Rattus norvegicus: one gene and its partners. The protein of the gene in region 1 purifies or fractionates together with the protein of each later gene. This does not show direct contact. Links are inferred from orthologs where the notes say so. Each region holds a gene or a part of one and is shown on either strand. Other genes may lie near its edges. The genes, in order: Ppp2cb, Strn, Ppfia3, Tiprl, Stk24, Strip2 and Cct2.

Region 1 (3,817 bases):
GGGAGTTAAACCTGGTGCCAAGCCAGGGCGCTGCCCCTGGGCTACAGCCCCGTTCATGATTTGGTTGGTTTGGCGGTGGTGGGTTTTGGGTTTTGTGTATGCCTATTTTGGAGGGAGTCTCACTCAATTGCTCAGGCTCAGACTTGACCGTACTCTCAGCACAGCTCAACTCTCCTGCCTTATGTTCCCAAGTAGCTGGGGTTCTAGGCTTCAGTCACCAAGCCCTGCTTCCCCTGCCTCTGGTCTTCTGGCCAAAGAAGATGTGTGCCCTAATGTGTGCTCTAAAAAACAAAACAAAACAAAACAAAACAAAAACAGTGTAAATAAATGCTTAAGTCTTGGGGCATATATATTATTAGTAACACAAGATGTAATTGGAAATTGTGCCCATATTACTACGTTCCCTGGTTACCATTAGTAGCTTTTTATTCCTATTTTCATGATAACTACAAACATAATATTGTATATTATATCTTTTTTATCAAGAGGGATCTCTGTTTCCAGCATAGTAAGTTTTAAGGCATACATATAAGACATTACACAGGTTTCCTAGTTCACCATTTAGAGGCTGCACAGTGAGCTGATTTAAATTCATGTACAACACACAGAATAAAACTTGAATGTTAGCAGGTCTTTAATCCCTGCACTCAGGCAGCAGAGACAATGGATCTCTGAATTCAAGGCCTCCCTGGGCTAGAGTTAGTTCCAGGACTGACAGCTGCACAGAGAAACCATGAAAGCACAGCACTCTTGAAGGTGTAATGGATACTCTTTGGCTTGCTAGTCTGAGTATAATTTTGGATACTGTAATAATTAAAATGACAATACTTTACCTATACTTGCTAATGTGAATGAAAGTTATTAAAATTTTTCAAGTAATTGAAGTAAAGTCTTTTAGCTTTAAAGTAATGAAATTAATTTAGAAAGATAACAGTAGTATTAGTCATCTATCTGATTTTTAAACTTGGTCCATACATTGGTAGAACTCTTATGTATTTCTTATACTATCCAGCATTCTCCAAACTCATTAGTCTTTACTGTTTTTGAAGTATTTATAAGAAACAAAACAGCCAGCATACACACACCATTGTGACAGGCTATCATTTATGAAGTGTTATCACTGGAAGACACAAACACCTCAGAAATGAAGTAGATAGAACAAGTGGTGCACAGAGTCCTGGAAGGGAATGACAAGCTTAGGTCACACGTGGTGTTCAGTATATGGGTACCTAGCAATCAGATCTGCCTATTGTATGTGCACGTGTGTGCAGACGAGCCTATGGCGGCTGGAGGTTGCTGTCCTAACTCAGTTGATGTACATGTTGATTGGTGAGACGGGTTTTTCACTGATTCGTGTAGATAGCCTGGCCAGAGCCGCCCTTATGTCTCCAGCTTCCCAGCACTGAGCCTCCATGCAGTGCTGTGTGCCCGGCTTCTTACATGGTGCTGGGCTCCAGTCCCTGCGTGGCAAGCCTTGACTGCAAGCCATCTAGAACCAGGTCTGCTTTGTTAGGTTTGGGTTTAGGAGATTTTATTTTTGATACATTTATTTGCAGGGGAGCGAGGGAGGTTGGCCTACGGCAAAATGAAGTTGTCATGTGCTGAGCCATCTGCCAGCCTCCTTAAATATGTCTGTAGGCCAAGTATATGGGGCTTTAAGGAGCATGGAGCTGGTGGGAAAAAATGGAAAACTTGAAAATCCTCACAGATAGACATGATGTGCGACTATGATCCCAGCACTCGGGTTTCAGAGCTTCCGTGGCCATATGTTTTATCTATATAAGTTCAGTAGCCAACCAGATACCGCAGGCACAGAAAGATAAAGTGAAACCGATTTTGGTGGGGAGGGTGTCCTATATCAGTGATTTAAAATTCAGTTAAGAATCATATAGTGCTAAATGTTTTAGAAGATCCATTAACAGTCTTGTCTATTAGGGAAGCATGAGAAACCTCGTCAGACTCAGGAGAAAAGGCTGATGTGCTCACGTAGACCCATTCAGGAGCTCTGGGAAGAACTGCTGACGCCTAAGTTAGCCTGGGCTACATCCATAGCACATACATTGCCCCTGCCAATGAGCTGCTCACGAAAATCCTCGTTATTCTCTTCCTTAGTCTAGTCCTTGAACAGAGGGTAGTTCTGAGAAAAAATTTAAAACGCTTATATCATCCCACTTTATGTCAGAGTCCTGTAGGTGCACTGTCTACAATAAAAGGAACGGAAGACAACTGGGGAGGTGGCCGAGGGTGACCAACACCTTCTTCCTAATTTGTAAACACATCAAGTACTTGTTTGCAACCATGAAGATTGGTGCCTAGATACCTAGCAGCCATGGAGGGCACGGTGCCCGCCTGTGACCCCTCTCCTGGAGATGGGATTCCTGGAGTGAGCTAGCCACAGCAGCAAGCTTTCTTTTTTTTTTTTATTTTTTTATTTTTTTTTTTTATTTCGGAGCTGGGAACCGAACTCAGGGCCTTGCGCTTGCTAGGCAAGCGCTCTACCACTGAGCTAAATCCCCAACCCCAGCAGCAAGCTTTCAAGCAAGAGACCCTGCCTTGGTGAGGAAGGTGGAGGGATCAAAGAGGGACATCCACTACCAACCTTAGGCCTGCACATCTGTGTGCACCCACTAACAGGTCTGCATATACATGCAAACTACAGTTCGGTGTGCAGAAGTGACCCAGTGAGTAAAGTGTAAGGAGAGAAAACCCTAACAGTTGCCCCGACCTCTGTGAGATGTCTTCCACATCATACAATGAGGAAGGAATTAAAGGTGATAAGCTCTATAGAGAAAGTGTGTGAATGTGGGGATGTGCTCAGGAAATCTGAGGAACACCAAAAAGCTCATTGTAGTCAATACCAGAGTCAGGAGGATTGATGTTGAGAGACAGGAGTGTGAGCGGACGCAGTGACGGTGGTGAGCATCCTGTGCTGGGGCAGCAGCAGCCCCACTCTGGAGGCACTGGACTGCATGCAGAGGCCTCAGACCCCGGACCACAGCGGGGGAAAGGAGAGCCCTCAGCACTCGCCGCTGTGGTTACTGCTGGTGACCTGATCCTGCTTTGCGCTGTAGCTCACAAATCTTCCCGTCAGTAATACCATTGGGAAGGAAAGGCTGTCATGGCCGACGCTTGTCACCATTGCTTACTGTTCGTTAATTTAGCAATTACAAGTCAAAAACATGTTTTTCTCAATTTAAAAAACAGATATTCTGCCTCCACGGTGGCCTCTCTCCATCCATAGATACACTGGATCACATAAGAGCCCTGGATCGCTTACAGGAAGTTCCACATGAGGTAAATTTGGCAGTTACTTGTTGGTTTTGATTTTAAGGGAAAAAGTGTAGTCACGTGTGGGAAGGGTAACTCAATTAAACACAACTCATAGTATATATTTGTTCTTTATCCTTGTCCAGGGCCCAATGTGTGATCTCTTATGGTCAGATCCAGATGACCGTGGTGGCTGGGGCATTTCTCCACGTGGTGCTGGCTACACATTTGGACAAGACATTTCTGAAACATTTAACCATGCCAACGGCCTCACACTGGTGTCCCGTGCTCACCAGCTTGTAATGGAAGTACGTACTTTTCCTGCACATTGACCTGCCTCTCACGGTGTCTGCGTCTCTGATAAGGCTTCGTGCGTGACGCAGACGGAAGGAGCCAGAGCCCATTGCCAAGTCCAGAGCTCCATGGTTCTGTTAAAGCCATTGTCTGTTGTAGCCAGTGCTTCAGTCAGAACATTTTCATCTGTATACTCCTACTCAAACCCTTGAGTCAGATGATTGTAACAGTGTTTTAAGTTTTGCAATGTATATAG
Region 2 (3,817 bases), on another chromosome or scaffold:
AAACTCAGGTCCTCCGCAAGAGCAGTCGGTGTTCTTAACCGCTCTGAGCCATCACTCCAGCCCCTGCTCTTCTTTTATTTATTTTGTTTTTAAAAGAATTTTATAATTGCCAGGTGTGATGGTGCACAACTTTAATCCTAGAGCTTGGGAAGTAGAAGCAGGTGGATTTCTTGAGTTTGAGGCCAGATTGCTATATAGTGAGTTCTAGGACAGCTAAGACTGCATAGTAAGACCTGTCTCAAAAATAAACTTTTTAAAGATTTATAATTAAAATTCAAAGCACAGAATTTTGCATAAGTTCAGGGAAGTAGATAATAAATCTTGTGAGGGTCGGCTGATGGTTGGCTGGTTGATTGTACTGGGTCAAGAGCCTAGTGGTCTTGGGGCAGGTGAATTGACATTGTCTGTGACCTACCATCACTGCTGCTGCTGGTGCGAGTGCCTACAGACTGGAATTACAAGTCTTTACAGCTACCAGGATGGCTTAGCAAGTGAAAGTGCCTGCTGCCAAGCCTGACAGCGCAGTCTGATCTTGGAGCCTCCCCCTGGGAGTTGTGCTCCAGCAAGTGTCATCTGACCATGCGTGCTGTGGCCATGTGTGTGCGCTCTCTCTTGCGCGCGCTCTCTCTCTCTCTCTCTCTCTCTCTCTCTCTCTCTCTCTCTCTCTCTCTCTCTGAATAAATAAAATAAACATTTTAAAAAAGACAGTAAAAATTAACATTTTCTAAAATTAGTCCTTCTGGTAGAATGTGATATTCCTACTACTGATAGATGTTATATCAGAGATCTAACAGATGCTTTTTGAAATTGGAGTAAACTTAAATTGCTTTCAAAATAGATTTCTGGTAATTCCAATGATAATTCAATAAATATATTGATCAAGTGCTCTCCGTGCACTGGGTCTTCCTGTAGGTGAAGAGTCTTGCTCCTATGGTACTCAGTGGTGGATCTAGCATTGTTCATAAAATCAGAACCACATGCTCAAAGCACAAGCCTCCCTTTTTTCTTTCTTTGCTTTTGATAATTTTCTTTTTTAAAAAGGTCTATTTTAGTAATAAAATATAATAATGTTAGACAGAGACTAATACATCTGAATCGGCCAAGACAAATGAACAGAAGGAAAAGAACCCAAGAGAAGGCAGAATAATCACAGACCTACTCTTGAACATTCGGGAATCCCACAGAAACACTAAGTGGAAGCCATAGTATATCCTCGGAGCACGTGGTGCAGACCCATGCAGGTCCTGCGCTTGCTGCCGACGTCTCTGAGTTCATGTGAGCTTTGCTCATGCTGATTGGAGGACTTGTGTTTTCTTGGTGTCCTCCATGTCCTCTGGCTTTTACACTCTTTCTGCCTCCTCCTGTGAGTTCCCTAAGGGGAGAGATTTGACGGAGGCATCACTCAGGGCTGAGTGTTCACAGTCTCTCACTCTGCACATCGTCTGGCTGTGGGTCTTGTTTGTTCCCGTCTGCTGCAGAAGAAACGCCTCCGAGGATGATCTGCCTGGCCTGAGTGGCCTGTCTTAAACTCGGAAACACCATTAAGATTTTTAGTCTCTTAATAAGAATCTTCTATCACTGTACCTGTGCGATACGGAATTCACTGGCAATGCTGTAACGTTCTCGGAGTTAAGGGAATACCAGGTTTACCTCTTCTGTCGTCTTCAGTGGAGATGTTCTGTTAGTTAGGACACTGACTTGATCTTTGCTAGGTGTGCTTTGTGTGCACATATGTGAGTATAAGCATGACTTGTGTAAGCGAGTGATGTCATGAAGAAAATCAGTATCTTCCACACATTGCCTTTGTATGTGATAGTCTACTGAAGAAAGGCTGTTTGTCTCACTCTGTTTAGAAAAGGAAGATCAGTGTCTGACGCCGGAGGCCTGGAATGTGGACCAGGGAGTGATCACCAGACTGAAGGAGCAGTACAAAAAGGAGAGGAAGGGGAAGAAAGGGGTGAAGAGTAAGTGGGAACATTGTCTAAACACGTTCACCTCTGCATCTCCCATCTCGGTTCGCTGTCAGTGCTCTCCTAGCGTTTCATTTCTGCTCCTCACCTCTTTCCTTCTCACCGTCTCTCAGGGGTTGAAATTAGTCGGCAGCTGTTTGACTGTGAACTTAAACAGAAGTCACATATGAATATGGGATTTTCACAAACATGGAAAGGTTTGGGAGAATGTCGGCCAGTGCGTTTGAACAGTGATGGGTTGGCTTCAGGAGAGCCCACTCACAAAGATGTTTACTTCTGGTCGAAACATATAAATTTTACTTAACCCAGTTTGCTCGCAGTCACCAAAGTGGTTGCTTATACTTTCAGATCTTGAGATAAGAAAAAGTTAATTTCTACCCCTGAGTAGTCTTGTGTGTTCCCAACACAAAGTTCATTTGCTCTCATCTGTATATGCTATACAGGGCACACGGTCAAACATTCAATTTAAAAGAATCTGTTTTCTGATTAACTGTTTTGGCCACTTTAATTTATAGCAGTATTACCAATTAACTTTTTCCTCGTTTCAGTAAAGTATATGCCACATCAGAAACAGAAGGCAAAATGAAATTTTAGCCCTGTGGATCATATAACTCATTATGCAAATGAAAAGTTTGTCAGTAGATCTAGTATGTATCTAAGGAAATGCAAATCCTATCAAAACCTTGATGGGAATAATATTAAGCAGCTTCTTAGGAACTGGGGATGTACCTCAGATGGTAAAGTGTTTCCCTAGCATGCATGCACAAAGCCCTGGCCTCATCTCTGAAGAGCATAAACTGAGTGTGCTGGCTCATGTCTGTAATCTCTGTACTCTGGAGGGAGAGGCTGTAGGACCAGGAGGTCAGGGTCAGAGTTAGCTATACGAGGAATTAGAGACCTTCCCAGGATATATGAGACCTTGTCTCAAAACACCAAAAACCATCTTTTTGGGAGAGTAAGATTAAACCACCTTCTGTGCGTCTACTCACTGACATGGTAAATAATGAGCTTTCCTTTTGATGGCAATAGGAATTTTGTCCTTTGAGATGTGAAAGTAGTATAAACAGATTAAAATCTAAACTTAGTGTGAAATGTATTTATAAATTGCAAAAGACTGGAAGGATAAAAATGCTGCATTCCTTTCTTGCTTTTCAATTGTGATAAGACATCCAGAGCAGTCTTTCCTTCAGACATTGGGTTACAATCTGGTAATTATTTTTAAGACATTTAAATACTAAAATCTCAGAATTTATAAATTCTGAATCGATGAATTCCGTGTCCGTTAGTGATGATAGCACAGGTTTAAGAATCACTGAGTGATAAGATAGTTTACTGTTATCTTAGAGTAGATCAAATCAGAGTGAGAAAGGTACCATTAAAGCAAGGCTGTTTCATTCCTTTATTCCAATGCACTAAACTTAAGAGATATATTGAGACATGGCTTGCTATTGCTTTTTAGGACTAAGTCAGAGCCAGTTAAACTAAAGTGTTGAGGAAAACTTGTGTACTGCCCATTAGAAACATTTCCAGGTTATATTTCTTTGGGTCTTACGTTATAAAATGAGTATCTTGGATTGTAAAGATCTTTTCATTGAAAATGTAGCCACCCCTGCTGTGACTCATCTACTCTGCATTGTAGTTGGGATTTAGCCCTTAAGATCTAAAGCTGCACCATTTGACTGGAACAGTACTCCCGGTAACAGAAGCAATTGGAGGCCCTGCACTGGGTGTTAAGATGCATATTTAGACTTAGAGTACGTGGGCTTCAAGTGAAGCAGCGTCCCTCTCTGGGGACAGTGAGCGCCTTGCACTGAGGATAAGGAGTGTAGACTGAGGTCGACTGTCAG
Region 3 (4,504 bases), on another chromosome or scaffold:
CTTGTCCTTTGACCTCCACATGCACACTGTCACATGCACGCACATGTACAGTAAAACAAAATACACTAAATATCAAAGGGGGGGAGATCCTCTAACTGATGGGGGTGGTCTGTTTAGGAACCAAGAACATTTTCCAGAGGCTGAAGACTCTAGAAAAAGCGAGAGTCTAGAACAGGCTCAGAATGCCAAGACAGCAGATGGAGCTGACGCCTATGATCCAGCAGGGAACAGGACAGACACCAAAGCTAAGGCCATAGAAAGGAAAAGACAGAAGCTGTGACAGGGACCTAGAACCTGAGGCTCAAAAGATACTGGAACCTTCCAGGCTTAAGATTGTGCAAGCTATGGGGGATGGAGAGATGACACAGCCATTAATAGCACTGACTACTCTTCCACAGGACCCAGGTTCAATTCCCAACACCCACATGACAGCTCACAATGGTCTAACTCCAGTTCCAGAGGATCTGGCACCCTTGTACAAACATATATGCAGGCAAAACACTAATGCACATAAAACAAAAATAAATCATCAATTAAAAAATAAGATTGTGCATGCTAGAGTTCCAAAGACTACTAGACTATTTCATTGAAAACAACACATTCTGCAAGTTAGAATATCCATGGGAGGAAGGAAATCTAGAACAACAGCAGATGTGGCCAGAACATAAAACACATCTAAAATGCAAACCCAGGAGATATTAGTCTCTAAGAGTGGGAGTAGAGTGAGACCTTTCTGTTATTGGTCTAGTGCTAGTAATCGAACCCTGGACTTTGTGTGTGTGAGGTAAGTGCTCTACCCCAGCAACAACCCCAGCTTCAATAGCTAGAAATATAGGACATATCCAAGGAGAGGACTGAGAACAGAAAGTAGCTTAGGTATGTTATCTAGATATTTGTAAAGACCAGAGTAGGAAGAAGAAGAAGAAGGAGGAGGAGGAGGAGGAGGAGGAGGAGGAGGAGGAGGAGGAGGAGGAGGAGAAGAAGAAGAAGAAGAAGAAGAAGAAGAAGAAGAAGAAGAAGAAGAAGAAGAAGAAGAAGAAGAAGAAGAAGAAATAGAAGAAAAAAGGAGGAGGAGGAAGAAAAAAATATACACAACATAGTGAACATAGTGAGTTCTAATGCAGCCCAGGATGCATGGCAAAATCCTGACACTGGGATGTGAAGGGAGCAAGTGAAAAAAGACATGCCTAGAATTTAGTTCGTGGCATTAAATGTAGATCACACGCCTTGATGAGGACAGGACAGTGTATCATCTGGAAATGTTCTGGAACTTAGACTCTTGAACACAGCACAAGGAAAGGACTCATTATTAACTAGAAATGCAGAAAAAATGGCTGGCAAGTCCCAGATCACCTGATGAACCCTGATCACAGAACACACCTAGAAGAAAGGACAGCTGTTTGGTACTTGGAGTATGAGACATCAGATATTACCAGATGGGTCTCTAGAGGCAATGAGATGGCAGAAATATCCAGCTTTGGGGGGAGAGGAGACTCTGGAAGTCTAGCACCTCAGACGATAGGACAGATGAGTGTTTGTTAAAGCCATAGAAGATGTGGGGCTGGGGATTTAGCTCAGTGGTAGAGCGCTTACCTAGGAAGCGCAAGGCCCTGGGTTCGGTCCCCAGCTCCGAAAAAAAGAACCAAAAAAAAAAAAAAAAAAAAAAAAGAAGATGTAAAGTTCATAGAACACTGAGGCCACCAAGACCTGAAGATGGGAGAGGATGCAAAGCCAGGGTCCAGACCTTTGAATCCACCTGGGGGTGAAGAAACTTAGAGCCTGGATGTTTGATGGGAGTGTAGGCCTGGGTGGGTGGTCTGTTGGACAGGACACTCACCACAGTGAGATTCTGGGTTCCTGAGATGTGTGTTTGTTCTGGTGGAGGTTACAAGATGGGGGTGAGACACCTAGATCTTCAAGGGGGAGTGAGGATAGAATGTATTCCAGGTCTTTGAAAGGAAGCCATGGCGCCTGAGTCCATAAGGCAGCAAGCAGGTGCTGGTGTACCAAGAGGCTGGACATATTTGTCTTTGGGGGGTTGGGGGAGCTGTTAAAGTAAGTGCTAAGTGGGGAGGGGGTGGGCAAAGGCTAGGGAACTGGATCCCCCAGGTGCTGAATAAGATGACAGTGATTAGTCAGGGCCAGCAGATATATGGGCACTAACAGTTTTTTAGATCCAGGTGGGAGCGGGAGGCTCCATGCCAAGGTTTCTAAGTGGACTGGGCAGGGACATTCACAAGCTCTATGTAAGTGAAGCGGCTAGAGTCCCAGAAAGCTAGAGTGCCTAAAGATGGGCCTGAGAACCCCGCGACCCAGCTGGGAGGGGGCGGCGGGGATCCCCAGGTCAAAGGCGCGGTGAGGGGGAGGGATTCCCACACCACCTGCACCCCCCTCCCTGGCGGCCCTGGCAGGAGATGGGGGAGGCGAGGCTACCGAGAGAGCTGACCATGGACAGCTCCGGCGCGGGCCTGTGTCCAGGGCGAGCCGGCCTGGACCGAGGAACGTCGCCGGCTGTTCCAACCAGAAGGTGGGGGACGCAAATGGGGGAACGATTTGGACGCAATGGGGAGAGTCCCACAGTGGTGACCAGTGTCTGGAGCTCCCAGGACTGGGCCCAGAGGAGAGATCTAGACTGAGGGGTCCCCTGAGCTGAACTGAGGGATCCAGGCTTCTGGGCCCTGGAAGAGGCACAAGGAGACAGCCCGCTTGAGATACTAGGGTTCAGCGGAGCACTCTGAGCTCCGGGAAGGGACACGCCTGGGTCTCTTGGGGTGCCTTGTGAAATCTGGACTCTGGGTTCCCTTGGGATGGAGATGGGAATGTAGGATTTCGGGCCAGCGGGTCGGAGACGTTAGCCCAGGGGTCCCCAGGGTGGGCGCTGCCGGGCAAGCTGGGCCGGGCTCTTACCTACCTGGTCCGCGACGACTGCGGGAGGAGCTGGGCTGCAGGAGGGACGCGGGGTGGGGTAGGGGCACCGGGCGGGGCCCCTGGCGACGGCCGGGGCCCGGATCTGGAGATCTGGAGCCCTGTCTACGCCGCTAGCGCGGGCTCAGCGTCTCTTGCTCCGGCTCCAGCGCTGGGGACCCCCTCCCCCTCACGGTCTCACAGCCTTCTTACTCCCTAAAATAGCCCCCTGCCCTTGTCACCGTACAGCCTCCCCCCGCGAGGCCGCAATCGCCAGATCCAGGGGTGCCCACCAGCGCCCCCCCAAATCCCACCTTCTCCCCCCCAAAAAATTCTCCTCCCTCCCCCTCCCCCCCACAGATCCCGGGCGGTCGTGGCCCCTTTAACAGAAGACTGACGGACGGCGCTGAATGGCCAATGAGAATTGTCGTCCGTGCCGGCCGGCGACCAGACCCCGCCTCCTCATCGGGAGGGAGGGGCCGCGCGGGCGGAGAGCTGGGGGCGGGACTCGTGGTGCAGCGACCAATAGGCATGCAGCGTGCGGCGGCCTGGGAGGGAGGCGGAGTCCGGCAGAGGATGATGTCACCTGAATCTAGTAGCGCGCAGCGTGGAGCGCGAGTCGCGACCCCGGGTCCCCGCGGCGGCGCGCGTCTCACGGGACACGAGGGCTGGGCGGCGGGATGGGAATTCAACATTCAAGGTGGGATTTTTTTTTTTAAGACAAGGGCGGCTCCCGGAAGGATGTGCTCGGTTGGAAGGTGAGGCGAGTGGATGATGGGTGGCGAGTGCGTGTTACTCTGCACCCCTGCGCCCGTCTAGGGAACTGCATGCGCCCCACCAACCCCCGACTCCCACGCAGACGGTGGCACGGCCCGCAGGGTTCCCCCAGCGGATGGTTCGCTCCGCCCCGCCTACAGAGGCAATGATCAGGCTTCTGCTGCGTTTCAAGACTCCCGCGTCCGACTCACAGCAGGGGACCTGCCAGGCCTTGGCCTTCCAAACCTCTTAAGGGTTGGGGACAGTGGTCCTTGGTGTTGCGCCCTGGCACTCACATCGACGCAGCCTTGGGTCTAGTCTCTGGGACACCGGCCAGCCTCCGCCTTCAGAGCTGCTCGAGCGGTGTCTATCATGGTACACACACTGGAAAGAGCTTGTTCTTAACCTCAGCTTCACTGTCCTCCTCCCCCACAGAGACTATTCCAGGATGCGCGATAGACACACAAGACACTCGGTGAGGGTTAAAGATCTTTAAATAAGGAGCCAGTGACAATAAATAATACTGTACAGGGGAGGAGGCGGGTCCTGCTCTGTGATTTCAGCCTCGAGACTCCAAGGACCTGTGAGGGTGTGGAGAGGGAGTTTTAGGCAAAGGGGAGGCTTAGTGGTGGTGGTGGGGGGACGCATAAGATGTTCAAGGGTGGGGTTCTGGAGACAACAGTTCAGAAAAACAGGCACAGGGATTCTGGGATTGGAGAGCCAGAGGGTCCCAGGGCCTTGGCTACCATGACAGGGGTCAAAGGTCTGGAAGCCTCTGGTGAAGAGCCAGGGATAAATGTTGAAGGCGGCTGAGATCGCTGGCCTGGTTTGGGTATCTGAGGTT
Region 4 (4,311 bases), on another chromosome or scaffold:
GAGGAGGAGGAAGAGGAGGAAGAGGAGGAGGAGGAGGAAGAGGAGGAGGAGGAGGAAGAGGAGGAGGAGGAGGAAGAGGAGGAGGAGGAGGAGCCTAGGCTGGCTGTATGCAACTCTTTCAGAAAGAAATGGGGATGGAATTCATTACATGTAATTTGCTCATTCACCTCCTTATTAGGTGTTCTAGAAGATCTAGATAATGTGAGGTTCACAATGTAACATTAGTGAGAGGGTCCCAGCCTCCTTGGGAAGTGCTTCAGTGGCCAACCTCTGTAGGCCAGTGATGGGAGACAATCCTCCACCATTCAGGATGAGATGCCCTACTTTGCATAAGCAATGTAAATAGAGTAACTGTATAGGAGGCAAGGACAGGAGGCCAAGGGAATGAATTAATCCAGAGACCGTGGGCAGGGGAAATTGATGATGGGTTTCTGGGACAGAAACACAAACAGAAAATACCAGAGGAGGAAAAGGTTTATTTGGCTTAACACCTTCAGGAAGTCAAGGCAGGAACTGAATCAGAAATCACGGAGCGAAGCTGCTTAGCGGCTCCAGAGTGGATGAAACAAACACTGAGAGAATGATTTGTGGAGTAAGAGGGGTTGCTGGAATTAAGATGAACAGTTTTGAGATGCTCTAACATTAAACCATCTCATTTTGAGGCAGCCGAAGCCTAAAATAAGCCCAAAGGTGCGCACGGTTGTACTGCAACCACGGAGGGAGCACCAGGCTTTCAGCGGTGTTTCCACTACGCCGGTGTGCAGGTAGAAAAGTCTTAAAATATCATAAGGATATTTTGCCGTTCCTTTTGCAGTACTAAAAATCGAACACAGCGGCTTGCACGGTAATGTGCTGCTTTTCCACTGAGATGCAAGGCGGAGCCACTATCAGTCATTGACTCAAAGGCCGCTGTCGGTTTTGGGCCTCCTAAACACTAGGGACGTTTGGGTATGCCCTCTTCGCCGCGACTCCTAAGCACAAGAGGTGATGACATCGCTCGGCGACGTCTGTAAGGAGTAGGTAAGGCACCGGGCTCTGGATCCAGAAAGACGAATTCCCACACCCACTCTGGGGTGACGTCACCCGAAGAATTCAGGACAGCCCACCATAGCGACACCGAGGCGCTTAAGTCCCGCCCCTTAGCGTCTTCACGTAAGACGTGAGTCATCCTGAGCTAGTGGCTGGTCCCGGAAGTAAAACCAGGAGGGGCGGAAGAGACGGCGGAAGGGCGGGCCCATCGGCGCGGCGGCAGGGGGCGGGGCCGAGATGGTAACGGACGCGCCCAGGAGCCGCGCTGCAGGGAGGGCCATACTGTGACCGCTGCCGCAGGCGCTTGCTCAGAGTAGCCCTGCGGCTCCGCTTCTGCCATGATGATCCACGGCTTTCAGAGCAGCCACCAGGACTTCTCCTTCGGGCCTTGGAAGCTTACCGCGTCCAAGACCCACATCATGAAGTCTGCGGATGTGGAAAAGTGAGGCTGTGGGGCGGGGCTGGACCGGGACGGGCCAGGACGGGCCGGTTCGGATCATTGTCGGGGGTAGGGGTCGGACAGGTTCGGTGCAGCTTCGCGCGGTTCTCAGGGCCTCAGGCTCGGTCCCTCTGACTGACCGTTGATTGACAACTTCAGTAAATAGTCCTGTCCCCTGCTCGCGACCTCCGCTTGCTGGAACTGTCGTTCCGCAGGGTTGAACTGAGCGCGGCTGTTTGGTGGACTTCACCCTTCGCCTCTCCTTTTTTCCCTACCTTAGCCTGCGCCACCTTTCTGGGGGCGGATGACCTGTTTCCTTGCGGGCAATGACAGAGATGATATTTATGTTTTGCTTTTAGCTTGTCTGGTTCCGTGGTGGGCTCTTAAGGTTCTGAACATGATCCATTGAGTACCACAGACTCATAGTTCGTGAGACCGTTAAATGACTGTGTGACTGTTTAGGATGAAGATACATAGCCGGAGCGATTTTAGGTTTTCTTTTTTTTCTTTCTTTTTTCCTTTTAGCAAATTAGGTGCTGTGATAAGCACTTGAGATAGGGAAGATGAAAGATAAAAGTCCCAAGGAATTCATAGTTTCGTGAGAGACTGTTATATTATTGTGTGGCTGTTTAGGATGAGGACGTAAACGGATGGATGGATGGATGGATGGATGGATGGATGGATGGATGGATGGATGGAGATCAGTGCATCTGGGCAGAATCTTGATTAAGTCTGGAGACTGGATGGCGTGTAAAGCCGACACTCAGAGTGAGCTCTGAGGTGTTTGGGGGTGCCTAAACTGTATCTTGATAAAGTTTGGGGGGCATCCTGACAGAGTGTTGCCTCTCGCGTCATTGAAGAGTTCTCTGTCTTGCTAAGAAGTTTGGATTTTATATAATAGCCACCTGCTGTATGTAGTTTTACTCCACGTGCATTATGGTTGAGTCTGAAAGGTTTCTTGGAAGTGTAGAAGATGAGTTCAGACTGGGATGCTGGAAAGGAGGCCAGTAAGCAGGAAAGAGGATAGAAGCTGAGATTTAAGTGCTTACGTTTGGTGGCCAATTGATGGATAGAAAGAAAAAGGGAGGCTCTACAGGACATTTTTTTAAATTTACATATGTAAAAGAATTTTTTAAAAACATAAGTTGTTTCAAATGTTATAAATTCAGACTAGTTTGTGTATGCATTTTCCTGCATTGCATGTGGGCCTAGTTGGGGGGCTGGGTCCCCTGAATGTTAAACAGGGCCCAAACACCTCATTTCTAATGTCATGCCTTGCCTTTAACAAGTAGACATTACCAGTGATAGAGTTGAAAGGCAGCATTTGAAGCAGCCTACCTTAATAACGGAGACTCTTATGTAACTGTGCAAGTTTTTCCAGATAAACTGGGAAAACCCATGGAGCTGCCTTTATTATTTCATATTTGGTCTAATCAGGAAAATAGTTAAAACCTGTATTTTACAGACACATCTTGTGGATATTAATCTTTCATTGTATTTAATCTTTTAGGCATTTAATATTTTCCATTCGTTAAAAGTTAAGAACAAATTTTACTTAAATTTATGGTGAAAATGTGCCATTTTACTGTTATCAACCATCGTAAAAATATGAAACATATGCAGCGTAGAAACCTCAGTTACCAATAGATAAAATGGAGTATGGACCCAGTTTTTTTTTTTGTTTTGTTTTGTTTTGTTTTGTTTTTTTTTTTTTTTTTTTGGAGCTGGGGACCGAACCCAGGGCTTTGCGCTTCCTAGGCAAGCGCTCTACTACTGAGCTAAATCCCCAACCCCATGGACCCAGTTTTTAAAAGTCTTAATGACATCTTGAATATTTTCCCATCTTTTCTCTAAATAATTTAATGATTTTATAGTATTCCATCATATGGTTACAGATTTGTATAACCATTTATTATTTTTTTTTATTTGTTTGTTTGAGACAAAATCTCTACATAGCCCTGGCTGTCCTGGAACTATGTAGATCAGGCTGCCACATCAACTCTCAGAGATCCTCTTGCCTCTGCCTCCTGAGTACTGGGACCTGGGACTATAGGTATGAGCTACCATATCTGGCTTATTTACTGGTAATTGAGACAGTCTTTCTACATAGTTCTGCTGCCCTGGATCTCATTCTATGTAGGTAGGCTGCCCTTGAATTTGGCCTGCCTGCCTCCGCCTTGTGTTGAGTGGTGGAATTAAAGGCTTGTGTCACCATGCCTGGCTGTTTAACCATTTATTTGTTTTCCCCTTGTCTGGGCTGTAGTGGCTCACACCTTTAATCCCAGCACCCAGGAGGTAGAGGCAGATGGATGATCTCTGAGTTGGAGGAGAGCCAGGGCTACACAGAGAAAAAACAAAAACATAACCATTTATTTTTAACTGGGCACTCAGAGTATTCCCTTTTCACCATCATAACAGAAGTTATAAGTATTAGTTTGTATAGTCCAACCTCCCTGTATTTGGAGTTGTTTTGTAGATATCTTACAGTTTATAATTTGAGTCAAAAAGTATAAATCTGATTCAATTTGAATGTTTGCTTGATTGTAGCCCCAAGGAGAATGTAGTTGTCCTAGAGAGTCTAGTTAGCAAGTGTGATTTTGGCCCCAGGGAGGAATGTAGGTGTCCCAGAGAGTCTAGTGAGCCAGCATTGTGGCCGCTGCAGGGTGGAAGGAGAGCCCTGTCAGCAAGTGTTAGTTTCTGCTCTCCTCCTTTGCTGGGCTTGCTTCTTTTCATCACTAGCTTTGAAATCTCTTATGAAGCCGAAATTTCTGCCAGAAGAGCTGGCTTCCTTCCTTCCGTGAGACAGGCTCTTCGCTATCTTTTCCTCAGTGCTATTGTTGATA
Region 5 (3,817 bases), on another chromosome or scaffold:
GTCTATATTAAGTATCAAAAGAACATACTGATCTTTAAGGGCCTGAAATTAAAATTCCCGGAGGGAAATCAGGGTGTTGTAAGCCCGACAGCTACTCAGAGTTTTCACACGTGAAGCGTCACATCCAAGTCCACCATGTGGCTGAGGGTCAGGAGGACCGTGTTACACAAGGCGAGGGTAACGACTCAGCACGGAGCAGACCGGCACCCACGCTCAGGCCCACATCTCAGTCCTCAGGTGGTCAGACAGAGCTCAATCTCTAACCCGTCAACTCCCTAAGGGCAGATGCCAGCAAGGAGCTGCTTGGAGGGGCACCTCGTTTGCTCCCACAGCAGGCTTATTGTGAACGATTCCCCAGGGCCACTGGCTGGTAGGCACGCTGTACCTTATTTCTTTCCAAATCTGAGGGCTGAAGAGTTCCGTTCTCCAGATTCTTGGGGTCTTTCTCCCGGATGGTAAAGATCCAGTCCCCAGAGTCGCTGCCTCCAGACGCCTGGCTATCTGTCTCCCTTGGAATAGAAATCCCAAGTTCACCAGCACAGACAAGGCCAGGGGCTGCACTGCGCAGACCAATGACCCCCGGCCCCCCACCCCTGGCCCACCCCAACCACTGCCACTGCCACCTCCCGCACACAGTGGCCTCAGCTCTCCTCAGGATCCATCTGCCAATTTACTGTTCGTCTTTCTTGGGTCTCAGTGTCTCCACAGGTTCCTCCTCCTGGCCATGGCTCTTGTCTGTACTCTCTTTTGCTTGCCTGCCCCCCCCCCACCCCAGCTCTACCCCTATCTGCCACAGCTACATACACAGAAGCCCACCCCCAAAGAAGCAGGGTCCAAGAGTGTGCTGCAGGCGTGGGGAGCCCCACAGGGCGACTTACACATCTGAGTCCTCCGAGCTGGAGTCCTCGTGACTCTGCTCCGCCTTCCACCTCTTGTACCTGTCGATGAGCTCAGTCAGGTAGGACGTTTTCTTTGCATTGCGGATTATAAATTTGTGCTTCAATAACTCCTTAGCAGTGGGCCTCTGGAAAACACACGTCGACATAAGCAGGAGAGGAAGTTTCTTCTTCATCCCCCTCTAACAGACAAGACTTTTGGGTCAAAATGCCAGACCACCGTACCACGGAGCAGCCCTGGGTTCTGCTTCTGAGCCTGCTTCTGAGCCTGCTTCCCGCTCAGGCGTGCTGGAGAAGTCATCATACCTGTGCCCAAGTTTACAGGCACAAGGAAAAATGGCACAGAGTTTCCAACAAAGACTGAAGCATCCTACTAGAGCAGTTCACCAAAGCAAGAGAACTCCTGCGAAGAACTCCACAGAGAACCTTGTGAGTACTGTCTGAGAGAGTTCATCTTGTTTTTACTTGGTTTCTCATGGTAAGTGCTGGCTAAGGGAAATACGTGTCGTTATGATCTCCTCCGGTGTTAGACGAATACCAGAAACTGAGTTCACAGGTTCGACTCATCTATGAGGTAGGGGCAGGAGTCAGGAGAGACCTGACTGGCTCCTGGCTGGGTCCCCTCAGTCACCAGCACTCCCTACTTAGAAAAATAGGTCTATGAAGCTATCCCCACACTGGTGACTGGGACCAATAGCTTGATCCCCACCCAGGAATGGCACAACTCCCACCAAATGCACAGAGAGTTTAAGCCAGTGGCTCCCCCTACTGGCATCAGCTCCCGGCTGTGACATCCAAACATCCCAGTGTCCTCAGCTCTGGAGCCCTCGTGTCTGAAGGTCCAGGGTAAGCCAAGGTAGAAGGGGGCATGGTGGGAATGAACCAGCACTGCGTGTGCTTAGAAGAAAATGTACACACATTCGGATCCCTCTTACACTACACTCTGCAGCACCACGGCACAACAACCAACCACCAGGACTGACACCAAAACCACACCCACCATCTGATACCTGACCCAGTACCAAATGCTGACCTGCTGACCTCAGCCTGTAGCCCCTGGGAGCCGAGACTGGGTTGCCTGTCCTTTCTAAATCCTTTGCCAGAACTGGCTCCTACTGGGAGCCACATGATGCTCCTGTGAAATTCATCTTCTCACCATTTTAGACAAAAGCTCACGGGGACCCTCCATGATTATTCTTTGGGTTCAGTGAAGCCTTGGCCCAGCTAAACCCAAAACAAAGCTAGGGCACGGAGGGCTACATGGGACGAAACACACAGGCTGCCCCAGTTCTCAGAGAAAAATGAGGAAAGCTCAGAGTAGCTAAGGCCACAGGCTTTGCCACCACTGAGTAAACACAGAGAAAAGGCAGGGTGGCAGAGTGGGTGGCTCATGTGTACCTACGTGTCTGTCTCCTGGCACATGACAACTGGAAACTGAACATCTGCTTCCTTTATTTTGAGTCTATGCTCTGCTACTGCTGAAGTGGCTTTCTAGTTTTACAGCCTGATTTTTCTCTATCAATATTAAAAACTGATACTCCTACCTCACAATACTAAGTAAAATATTCTTCAGGCTCAATGAATCTAAGATAAAATAATTACATCTTAAATCCCTGAAAGGCAAGAAGGCAACATGGGCAACAAAAACTAGGCATCCATAATTAAAGGGACAGGGAAGTGGGGGAGCCCAGCCGAGGCAGACCAGCCTGGTCTGCAGAGAGTTCTGGGAGGGAGGGAGGGAGGGAGGGAGGGAGGGAGGGAGGGAAAGAAGGAAAGAAAGAGAGAGAGAGAGAGAGAGAGAGAGAGAGAGAGAGAGAGAAATTGAATTCATTTGCCAAGATTCCAGAGACCAGGGAGACGGCTGGAAGAGCAGCTGGCACAAGCCCAACAGAGGAAATGCAGACCAAGCCGACCCCAGGAAGGGCCCGCACTCACGAAGCTGGGCTCCTTGTTCAGGCAGGCCTCCACGAACTCCTTGAGGGGTCTGCTGTAGCTGCCCTCCAGCGTGGGAGGGTTGTTCTTTGGGATAAGGAACAGCACCTTCATGGGGTGCAGCTCAGAATGTGGCGGCTCGCCTTTGGCCAGTTCTATGGCTGTGATGCCGAGGGACCAGATGTCCGCCTGCAAGGACAAAAGCATCTTAAAGGCACGGAAAAGACCCACCTTCAGACAAGCACAAGGGAGGGGAAAGTACGTGTGCTTCACTCTCAGGTTCTGAAAAAGACCGTTATTCTGAACTACAAAACACACAAGCCCTTAGCATGATTTTAACATAGGAAACAAGTGGACAGATTTTATGTAGCAAATGCTACATAGAAATACAAAACTGCTCCAGTAGCGATGCAAACGGCCACGTCTACGGTAGACATCATGCCTGTGTCAGGTGTGCTCAGTGGGGACTTTGCAGCCCTAGCAGCAGCAGCCAACGGAGCAGATGAGGAGGAGGAACGGCGTCCCTTGAGCAGCACCTGGTGCCACGCACTTCGGTTCAGACCAAGTGAGCACCCTGGTCTCAAATCAGCTCTACAATCAGGGTCTTACAACACTAGACAAACAGCTTTCCCTAAGCCCATTGGTCCCCTTGATTTTCACAAGGGAGGTAGTTACAAGGGTGTAGGAAGGGACAACTGTGTATATTACCACTGTGCCTAGAAATTACAGCCTTTGTGTTCTGTTTGATTGCATTTGCAGTGGTGGGCACTGAACCCGGGGCACATGCTCTCCATCAGTGCTACCGAATGTTTATTACAACACACAGACATGGACAGCATTAACATAGTCATACATACAGCACACAACGGTAATCATTACTGTCACTTCCACACAGACTTTGGTAAGGATAGTGACCTGTAATCCCAGCACTCAGGAGACAGAGGCAGCAGGATTGCCACAAGTCTGAGGCCAGCTCAAGCTACATACAC
Region 6 (2,685 bases), on another chromosome or scaffold:
CTTTGCTAAATGACAAGTCCTAGGCATTTAGGGCGGGCAAGACGAAAAATCTCATTTTACGGCTGTATCTATTCCCCTGCTTGAGATGAACGTCATGGGCCAAATGCTGTAACGAGCTTCCCTTCACTACTGTGGCTAACAAAGCCAGCCACAGTAACAAAAGGCTGGCCTAGTTCTTGGCAAGATTAAAGCAGGTTTCAAAGTCTGTCCAGGACTGATCCACCAGGAGATGTGAAGGCCATCTAGGTACCTAGCTGAGCCGAGGACAAGTTGGTCCATTTGCTTTGACTCAGGATCCCACCCAGTCTTGCAACCACCTTCAAGCCTAATGGCACCCAGGATAGCCCTGAATTATGCTGTGTGTCTCTGCTGCATGCCAGGCTGGAACACCCCTGGACACACACTCCTGGGGTTCACGGAGAAGGCTGAATGGGTTCCTGGATCCAACCTCCATTAGTGATTCTGGAGCAGCTCCTCCCAACAGATGGGCTGTGAAAACACCTCTCTCTCCAGCCAGAGCTCATAGGAGTAATGGAAATCTTCAGGCAGATCCAACCTCTGCCCCAGCACACTCTGCAGGCAGTTATCCACAGGTGAAAATTCTGAGTCCTGCGGTTTATCATATCGGCGGCTGTTAAAGGCCTCGATGTTGGCCCTCAGGGTACATTCTTCAGCTTGGAAGTCCCATGGTCTGGCATCGATGTCTGACATAGGAAGAGAGGAAGAAAAAGATAGGTACAGCTCAGGATGCTACTCTTCCTCCATAGAGCATGGTCTATGGGATCCTAACAGTGAAACCGCTCAGAATGTTCTTTTAAGAGCAATGTATAAAGTAGACATATAGCATGCTTACAGGTTTTAAAAGTATTCATATGCTCACATATAAAACTATTATAACAGAAATGATCTTTGGCAGATTAGAAGCTGGTAACAGTAGTTACTGCTGAGAAAGGAGATGAGTTTTTATTGTAATCTCTTGTTTATTTCTTTCTAGTGATTTATTATAATTGTTAAGAGCAATTAAATTCCTCTTATTGAACTTTCCATAGTGGATTAAAAGGGGAGATTTTCTCCTAGGGAAGACTGGGGCAGAACATGAAGAATCATCAGTCTGGACCAACTCAGCCGGGCATGGTGGTGCAGGTCTTTAATTTTAGTATTTGGGGGACAGATGCAGGCAGACTAGATCTCAGCGTAGTCTATATAGCAAGTTCTAGGACAGCCAGGGCTATATAGTGAGACCATGTCTCAAAACAAAACAATAAAACTAAAACAAACAAACAAACAAAAAGTATAAGAAGGCAAACATTTTAGCACATCATAAAATTCGTATCATATTTAGGGGCTCAGGAGATGGCATGAGGACCTGACTTTGGATCCCTGACACCAACATAAAAGCCAGGTGCAGCAGTATGCATTTATAACCACCATGTTGCAGGAGCAGAGGCAGGCAAATCCTGGGAGCTCAGTGGCCAGTCAGCCTAGTCAAATTCACGAGCTCCTAGTTCACAAAGAATACCTACCATCTACTATGAGAGTACTCACCATTCCCATAAGCCCAGTCATCATTCATACGGTGGCGCACTTTCTGGTAAATGGCTGACATGGTCTTCATATTGCTTTTTCTCCATTGGCGCCCAAGGTACTTGGTTTGTATCTTTAGTAGCTTCAGGACATAAAGTTGTAGCATGGCCTGTTTGACTTTGAGAGCTCGCTTTAAGATTGGAGCTGACTTAAACACCACCAACATCTGCCCAGTGAAACAGGGACAGGGTAACAAACAGTCCGTCATCATGTGAACCCCTCAGGATTTCCTACTCAGACAATATAGACAAACCTGGCTATCCTAGGAGACCCTAGCGTCTTGAATTGAAACATAAAATTCAATTTATGTGTCCAGATTTTTAAATACTAGTAGCATATTACTTAGTAATTGTAAAAAGAGATGCCCATTTTTGTCTGCCAATAGTTTAAGCCCATGAATTTTAACTACTCTACATAAGAGTGAACTGTATAAGGAGGCTGAGGATAGCCTGGGGTGAGTGAAACACTGTCTAACACACACACACACACACACACACACACACACACACACACACACACACACCACATCACACAAATTAAGCCAGACATGATGGCACATGCCTACCATGCCTACAATCACCATATTCAGAGGCTGATCAGGAGTTCACAGTCAGTCTTGTGATATACAACAAAATGAAGAACTAATTAGTTTAGAGTTTGTAATATTCACACTGTGAAGATGGCTTAGCATTTAAGAACAAGTTGCTCTTCTGGAGGACCTGGGTTCAATTCCCAGCATCCTCATCATAGCTCACAACCATCTATTCCATAGGATGCAACGCCTTCTTCTTACCTCTGTAGGTACCAAGTATAAAGTGATACATATATAAACACGAAGGCAAAACACAAATAAAATGAATAAATCTAATTAAAAAAATTTAAATTATAACATATAATTCAAAACAAAGATTACCTGACATATATACCATTTACACTATTACCAGTTTCTTGTGTATCATTGGAGATAAATTTTTTTGAGACAGGGTTTCTCTGTGTTGTCCTGACTGTCCTGAAATTTGTTCTGTAGCCAGGCTGGCCTAAGCTCCTGACTGCTGGGATTAAGGGCAGGAGCCATCACCACCTGACCTTTTGTTATTTTCT
Region 7 (4,475 bases), on another chromosome or scaffold:
CTCAGCTTCAGAAAAAAAATATATATATATTTTAAGTGCCTATGACTTTAAAAGCTGTTGAGGGAGGACTGGAGAGATGGCTCAGTGGTTGACTGCTCTTCTAAAGAGGTCCTGAGTTCAATTCCCAGCACCACTTGGTGGCTCACAACCATCTGTAGTGAGATCTGATGCCCTCTTCTGGTGTGTCAGAACACAGCAACAAGGTACTCATTCACAAATAATGTTTAAAAACCAGTTGATAACTAGATTTGACTGTCCATAGCTCGCCAGCCCGAACTTACTATATCTAAGGGTAAATATAACTAAACATTGAAAATGCCTTAGTGTTGGCAAGTATCAGAAATTTAGGTACTTACTAAGTGATCAAAGAGAGAAATGTTACCAATGGATAAAAGAAAAACTAACATTCTTTTCAATCATTTGGGGCTTTGCCTTAGGTATCAAGAGCAAAGAGAAAAACATTTTAATATTTTTAAAAGAATTATTTATTTTATGTGTAAGAGTACACTCACTGTTGCTGTCTTCAGACACACCAGAAGAGGGCATCAGATCCCATTACAGATGGTTGTGAGCCACCATGTGGTTGTTGGGATTTGAACTCGGACCTCTGCTCAGGAAGAACAGTCAATGCTCTTAGCCACTGAGCCATCTCTCCAGCCCCAAGAGAAAACTTTTTAAAAACTGATTTATTATGTAGTTTATGTATGAGTGCTCTGTATGCATGTACACCTACCTGCATGCCAGAAGGGCATCAGATGGTTGTGAGTCTCCATGTAGTTGCTGGGAATTGAACTCTGCACCCCAGGAAGAGCAGATACTGCTCTTAAGCGCCGAGCCATCTCACCAGCGCCGAGAAAACTATTTGTAATAAGCTGAAATATTTCGGACTTGATCTTTGAGAAGTCATGTAAGAGTTATAATGGGCTCTCCCCTACCCCGAGGGAAAACAAATGAGGAAAACCTGAACTGGACTACTAGAGCCAATGTCTCAGCTAAGACTCACTAGCGCTTGTCCTGAGCAGTTAAAATCCAATTAGTGTCTTAAAATTAAATGAACTGCAGGAGTAGTGGCGCCCACCTTTTATACCTGCACTGTGGAGGCAGGGTAGAAGGATCTCAGATGGCCAAGCTAAGCTAGAGTTACACAGTAAGACCATGTCTAAGAAGTTAAATGAAGATTCCTTTATAATAATAATGCTAAAAATTATTATTTAGAAGTCTATTGATAAATAACCCTGCCAAAGTAAAATAAAAAGCACGAAAAATGGAATGGTTGCTACCGGGACGAGTAAATAATGGAAATGATTAGTGTGCAACACTTGAAAATGTACAACTGACCTTAAAACAAATTTTGAAAGATTAAATTTTAAAAATGTATGTTAAGCAGGAACTTCGTTTCCGTGGCAACCCGCGCGGTACAAAGTCTCTTTGTTCTCCAGTTCTATTCTAAATCAGCTCGCCCCTAGCCCCGCCCACATCTCAATGATTTCCGCTACTGGGCTAACACGAGCCGAGGCCCCGCCCCTTCTACAGAGAGCAGCCCGCCACGCAGGAGGCGGAAACCCGCGCAGGTCGGCTCCGCCCCCTGCGGCAGATCGTGTCGTCACTTCCGCCTTCCTTTCCCCCTGCTGGCTTCCCGGCGCGGCTTGTGAGGGATTATCCTCTACTCTGAATTCGTCGGAACCATGGTGAGCCTAGCTTTCGGCCCAGGCCTTCGGCTCCTGCCCGGGTCCTGCTGTGTCCCGCCTCCCCGCTGCTCCTCTTGTCTAACCGGAGTCGCAGGCTTCCTGCGGCCGTCTCATGGACCCTCGGCACATGGCACGGACCGGGCATGAGGCCTGCGTGGGACCCGCTGACCAAGCTCTCTGCGTGGGGCTGGAAGGGAGAGCGCGCCCTAAGCCAGCATCTCTTTGTAAGATGAGAGCTTCTCATCTAGGGTACCTCGACCAGCCCCCGGCCTTAGCCCTAGCGGAGAAGTTTCTAGCTACTCTTGTCGGCCCCGCCCTCTTCGGGGCGGGTCTTGAAGGGCGAGCGGCAGTGCAGGCCTGTGGAAGATGGAGGGTAGCTAACTGGTGGTTGGTGCTTGCCCATCCTTAATGTTGCCTTTAGTTTTGTCATAAACACTAGTGGGTTGATGTGATGGCTTATTCCTGGCGCCTACAAGAACGTCCCTCTCGCCATTTAAATAAATACCCACTCCGACGACTGACTCCTGAAATTATATCGGAAACCAGTTTTCCTTTAGATAACCTTACCGATCTAGTGAGAGGCCCTAGATGTGTCTTATCGAGTACTGGCGTTCAAACGGCGTGTGTTACTTTCTCCTTCTAGGCCTCCCTTTCCCTTGCACCTGTTAATATCTTCAAGGCTGGAGCTGATGAAGAGAGGGCAGAGACAGCTCGCCTGGTAAGCCCGTCTGCTTCTTTTAAATGAAAGATCCAACTCTTTGTGAGTGTAAATTTTGACCGCCTTTTCTGATTTTTCTTTTTTAAGTCATCCTTTATTGGTGCCATTGCCATTGGAGACTTGGTGAAGAGCACTTTGGGACCGAAGGGCATGGTAAGAAAAATAAGAAATTTTTAGAAGTTTCTTTTGTTTCTAGTTTTGTTTGCTTTTCCTGTGGTCTTGTGTTGTAGTGGCTGGCCAAAAAGTACGTTTTTTTGTTTTTTGTTTTTTTTCCTTTTTTTCGGAGCTGGGGAACCGAACCTAGGGCCTTGCGCTTGCTAGGCAAGCGCTTTACCACTGAGCTAAATCCCAACCCCCCCAAAATACAAGTTTTAATAATGGTTTAAAGCTTTTGGTGTAAATTTAGTAATAATTTTTTCCCCTTATGTTTTGGAATCTAAAACTTTAAATTAGAAAAAGTCCTTTTGTATTACCATCCCCAATCACACATCTCTCTCCAGTGGCAGCAAGAGTTACCGTTTGCAAAACCTGGTAGCAATGGTTCACTTACAGATAAGTTTGTCATGTTACATTTTTTTTGCAATGCATTTTTTTAAATAACAGATACCATTTTTTTGTTTATGTCTATGTGCTTTTAGTGTGCTGTTTTCAGAGTTCATGCTACCTCCTTTTATGTGAACAGATTTTTATAGCCTTGGTACTAATGTTTTTAACTGATCTTTTGGTTAATACAGAAAGGGTTCCATTGTGATTTTTTTTTCTTTAGTATGCTATACTTTAACTATCGTATAATGTTGTGGGATGTGCTTTGAACTTTGCTGATGGACATTTGTCTGCTTCGTAGTCTTGTGGTGTAGCAAAGCTAGTTTGTATTGTCTGAACTTCTAAGATTTTACACAGTGAGGTTTACAAAGCACGTGGTAGCCAAAGAACCTTTCAGAGGTTTCTGTGTCAGCAGGTATTCTTCAGGAAGTACTTAGTTTGACACAAATTTCCTTTCAGGATAAAATTCTTCTAAGCAGTGGACGGGATGCCTCTCTGATGGTGACCAATGACGGTGCCACCATTCTCAAAAACATCGGTGTTGACAACCCAGCAGCCAAAGTTCTAGTTGGTGAGTCTGAAACTTACTCTTATTCTTTTCTAATAATTTATTTCCCGGCAGGTTGTGTTAACTATTTAAATGAGAGATATTGGCATTTATCAGTATTAAAATGAAATTCAGAAGTATTGTCATCCATAGTCCGTATGGCTGCTACAACCACAGACTAGGTAGTTTTTAAATGGTACAAGAGTCTTTGGCTGAACTGCCAAGTCCAAGATCGGTGGGCCCTTTTCTGGTGAGGTCTTTTTTTCTGTCATAATGTGACAAAAGACATAATGTGCTGAGACAAAAAAAGATCAGGGATTAGTTTCCATGAACTCGTGAGGTACATTCAAGCTAAAGTATTTAGAGCTTTAAGTCAGATCTGGAACATACTATAAATGGAGTGTAGGTTTGCTGTGGAAGTTGTAAAAGAATTTAGTGATAAGGAGGCATAATTTTGCTTTTTTTCCTAGATATGTCAAGAGTTCAGGATGATGAAGTTGGTGACGGCACCACCTCTGTTACTGTCTTAGCTGCAGAGCTACTCCGGGTAAGAGCGGCTGGCAATTCCACCTTAGTACTGGGACTGTGGTTTGAGCAGTAGTCAAATCCTCGGTTACTCTTATGTGCCTTGTTTATTGGCAGGAAGCGGAATCTTTAATTGCAAAAAAGATCCATCCACAGACCATCATTGCGGGTTGGAGGGAAGCCACAAAGGCAGCAAGAGAGGCCCTGCTGAGCTCAGCTGTGGATCATGGGTTGGTATAACGCAATCCCCTTGGGAAAGAAATCTAGAGAACCCTGAGCATTATCTTGGTACCTTGCTCTATCCTAGCAGCTAAAACCCATGCCACCCACCCAAGAACCTTGGCTAGGCCTTCACTTCCCCTCGGCCTCCGGTCTCTAGAGTTAGCTCTCACTAGCCTCAAGTTCACTGCCCAAGTGCTGGGAGTACAAGCCTGTTTCCATACCTGCTTTATTA

The links.
Region 2: the proteins of Ppp2cb (region 1) and Strn purify together in Homo sapiens (affinity purification with mass spectrometry; 5 studies listed by BioGRID and IntAct, counting the BioPlex papers as one, with this or other methods). This does not show direct contact. The link is inferred for Rattus norvegicus from reciprocal best matches to the Homo sapiens genes PPP2CB and STRN.
Region 3: the proteins of Ppp2cb (region 1) and Ppfia3 purify together in Homo sapiens (affinity purification with mass spectrometry; 3 studies listed by BioGRID and IntAct, with this or other methods). This does not show direct contact. The link is inferred for Rattus norvegicus from reciprocal best matches to the Homo sapiens genes PPP2CB and PPFIA3.
Region 4: the proteins of Ppp2cb (region 1) and Tiprl purify together in Homo sapiens (co-immunoprecipitation; 3 studies listed by BioGRID and IntAct, with this or other methods). This does not show direct contact. The link is inferred for Rattus norvegicus from reciprocal best matches to the Homo sapiens genes PPP2CB and TIPRL.
Region 5: the proteins of Ppp2cb (region 1) and Stk24 purify together in Homo sapiens (affinity purification with mass spectrometry; 5 studies listed by BioGRID and IntAct, with this or other methods). This does not show direct contact. The link is inferred for Rattus norvegicus from reciprocal best matches to the Homo sapiens genes PPP2CB and STK24.
Region 6: the proteins of Ppp2cb (region 1) and Strip2 purify together in Homo sapiens (affinity purification with mass spectrometry; 3 studies listed by BioGRID and IntAct, counting the BioPlex papers as one, with this or other methods). This does not show direct contact. The link is inferred for Rattus norvegicus from reciprocal best matches to the Homo sapiens genes PPP2CB and STRIP2.
Region 7: the proteins of Ppp2cb (region 1) and Cct2 purify together in Homo sapiens (affinity purification with mass spectrometry; 4 studies listed by BioGRID and IntAct, with this or other methods). This does not show direct contact. The link is inferred for Rattus norvegicus from reciprocal best matches to the Homo sapiens genes PPP2CB and CCT2.

What each region holds. Positions count from the first base shown.
Region 1 is NC_086034.1:65,265,204-65,269,020, reverse strand, and holds part of Ppp2cb (serine/threonine-protein phosphatase 2A catalytic subunit beta isoform), read left to right. Parts: intron 1-3,204; coding exon 3,205-3,294; intron 3,295-3,413; coding exon 3,414-3,575; intron 3,576-3,817.
Region 2 is NC_086024.1:22,149,749-22,153,565, forward strand, and holds part of Strn (striatin), read left to right. Parts: intron 1-1,853; coding exon 1,854-1,964; intron 1,965-3,817. UniProt on the Homo sapiens protein: Calmodulin-binding scaffolding protein which is the center of the striatin-interacting phosphatase and kinase (STRIPAK) complexes.
Region 3 is NC_086019.1:104,979,232-104,983,735, forward strand, and holds the start of Ppfia3 (liprin-alpha-3), read right to left. Parts: upstream 3,048-4,504; 5' UTR 2,912-3,047; intron 2,528-2,911; exon of another isoform or gene 2,082-2,527; intron 1-2,081. Other genes in the region: Lin7b (protein lin-7 homolog B), read right to left, coding at 4,220-4,241. UniProt on the Homo sapiens protein: May regulate the disassembly of focal adhesions. May localize receptor-like tyrosine phosphatases type 2A at specific sites on the plasma membrane, possibly regulating their interaction with the extracellular environment and their association with substrates.
Region 4 is NC_086031.1:80,082,052-80,086,362, reverse strand, and holds the start of Tiprl (TIP41-like protein), read left to right. Parts: upstream 1-1,322; 5' UTR 1,323-1,367; coding exon 1,368-1,471; intron 1,472-1,538; exon of another isoform or gene 1,539-1,960; intron 1,961-4,297; exon of another isoform or gene 4,298-4,311. UniProt on the Homo sapiens protein: May be a allosteric regulator of serine/threonine-protein phosphatase 2A (PP2A). Isoform 1 inhibits catalytic activity of the PP2A(D) core complex in vitro. The PP2A(C):TIPRL complex does not show phosphatase activity.
Region 5 is NC_086033.1:104,778,718-104,782,534, forward strand, and holds part of Stk24 (serine/threonine-protein kinase 24), read right to left. Parts: intron 3,018-3,817; coding exon 2,832-3,017; intron 1,025-2,831; coding exon 879-1,024; intron 510-878; coding exon 386-509; intron 1-385. UniProt on the Homo sapiens protein: Serine/threonine-protein kinase that acts on both serine and threonine residues and promotes apoptosis in response to stress stimuli and caspase activation.
Region 6 is NC_086022.1:59,541,277-59,543,961, reverse strand, and holds part of Strip2 (striatin interacting protein 2), read right to left. Parts: intron 1,751-2,685; coding exon 1,546-1,750; intron 705-1,545; coding exon 454-704; 3' UTR 1-453. UniProt on the Homo sapiens protein: Plays a role in the regulation of cell morphology and cytoskeletal organization. Required in the control of cell shape. Calmodulin-binding scaffolding protein which is the center of the striatin-interacting phosphatase and kinase (STRIPAK) complexes.
Region 7 is NC_086025.1:54,588,561-54,593,035, reverse strand, and holds the start of Cct2 (T-complex protein 1 subunit beta), read left to right. Parts: upstream 1-1,630; 5' UTR 1,631-1,685; coding exon 1,686-1,688; exon of another isoform or gene 1,689-1,831; coding exon of another isoform or gene 1,832-1,912; intron 1,913-2,331; coding exon 2,332-2,406; intron 2,407-2,493; coding exon 2,494-2,559; intron 2,560-3,408; coding exon 3,409-3,520; intron 3,521-3,966; coding exon 3,967-4,043; intron 4,044-4,138; coding exon 4,139-4,251; intron 4,252-4,475. UniProt on the Homo sapiens protein: Component of the chaperonin-containing T-complex (TRiC), a molecular chaperone complex that assists the folding of actin, tubulin and other proteins upon ATP hydrolysis.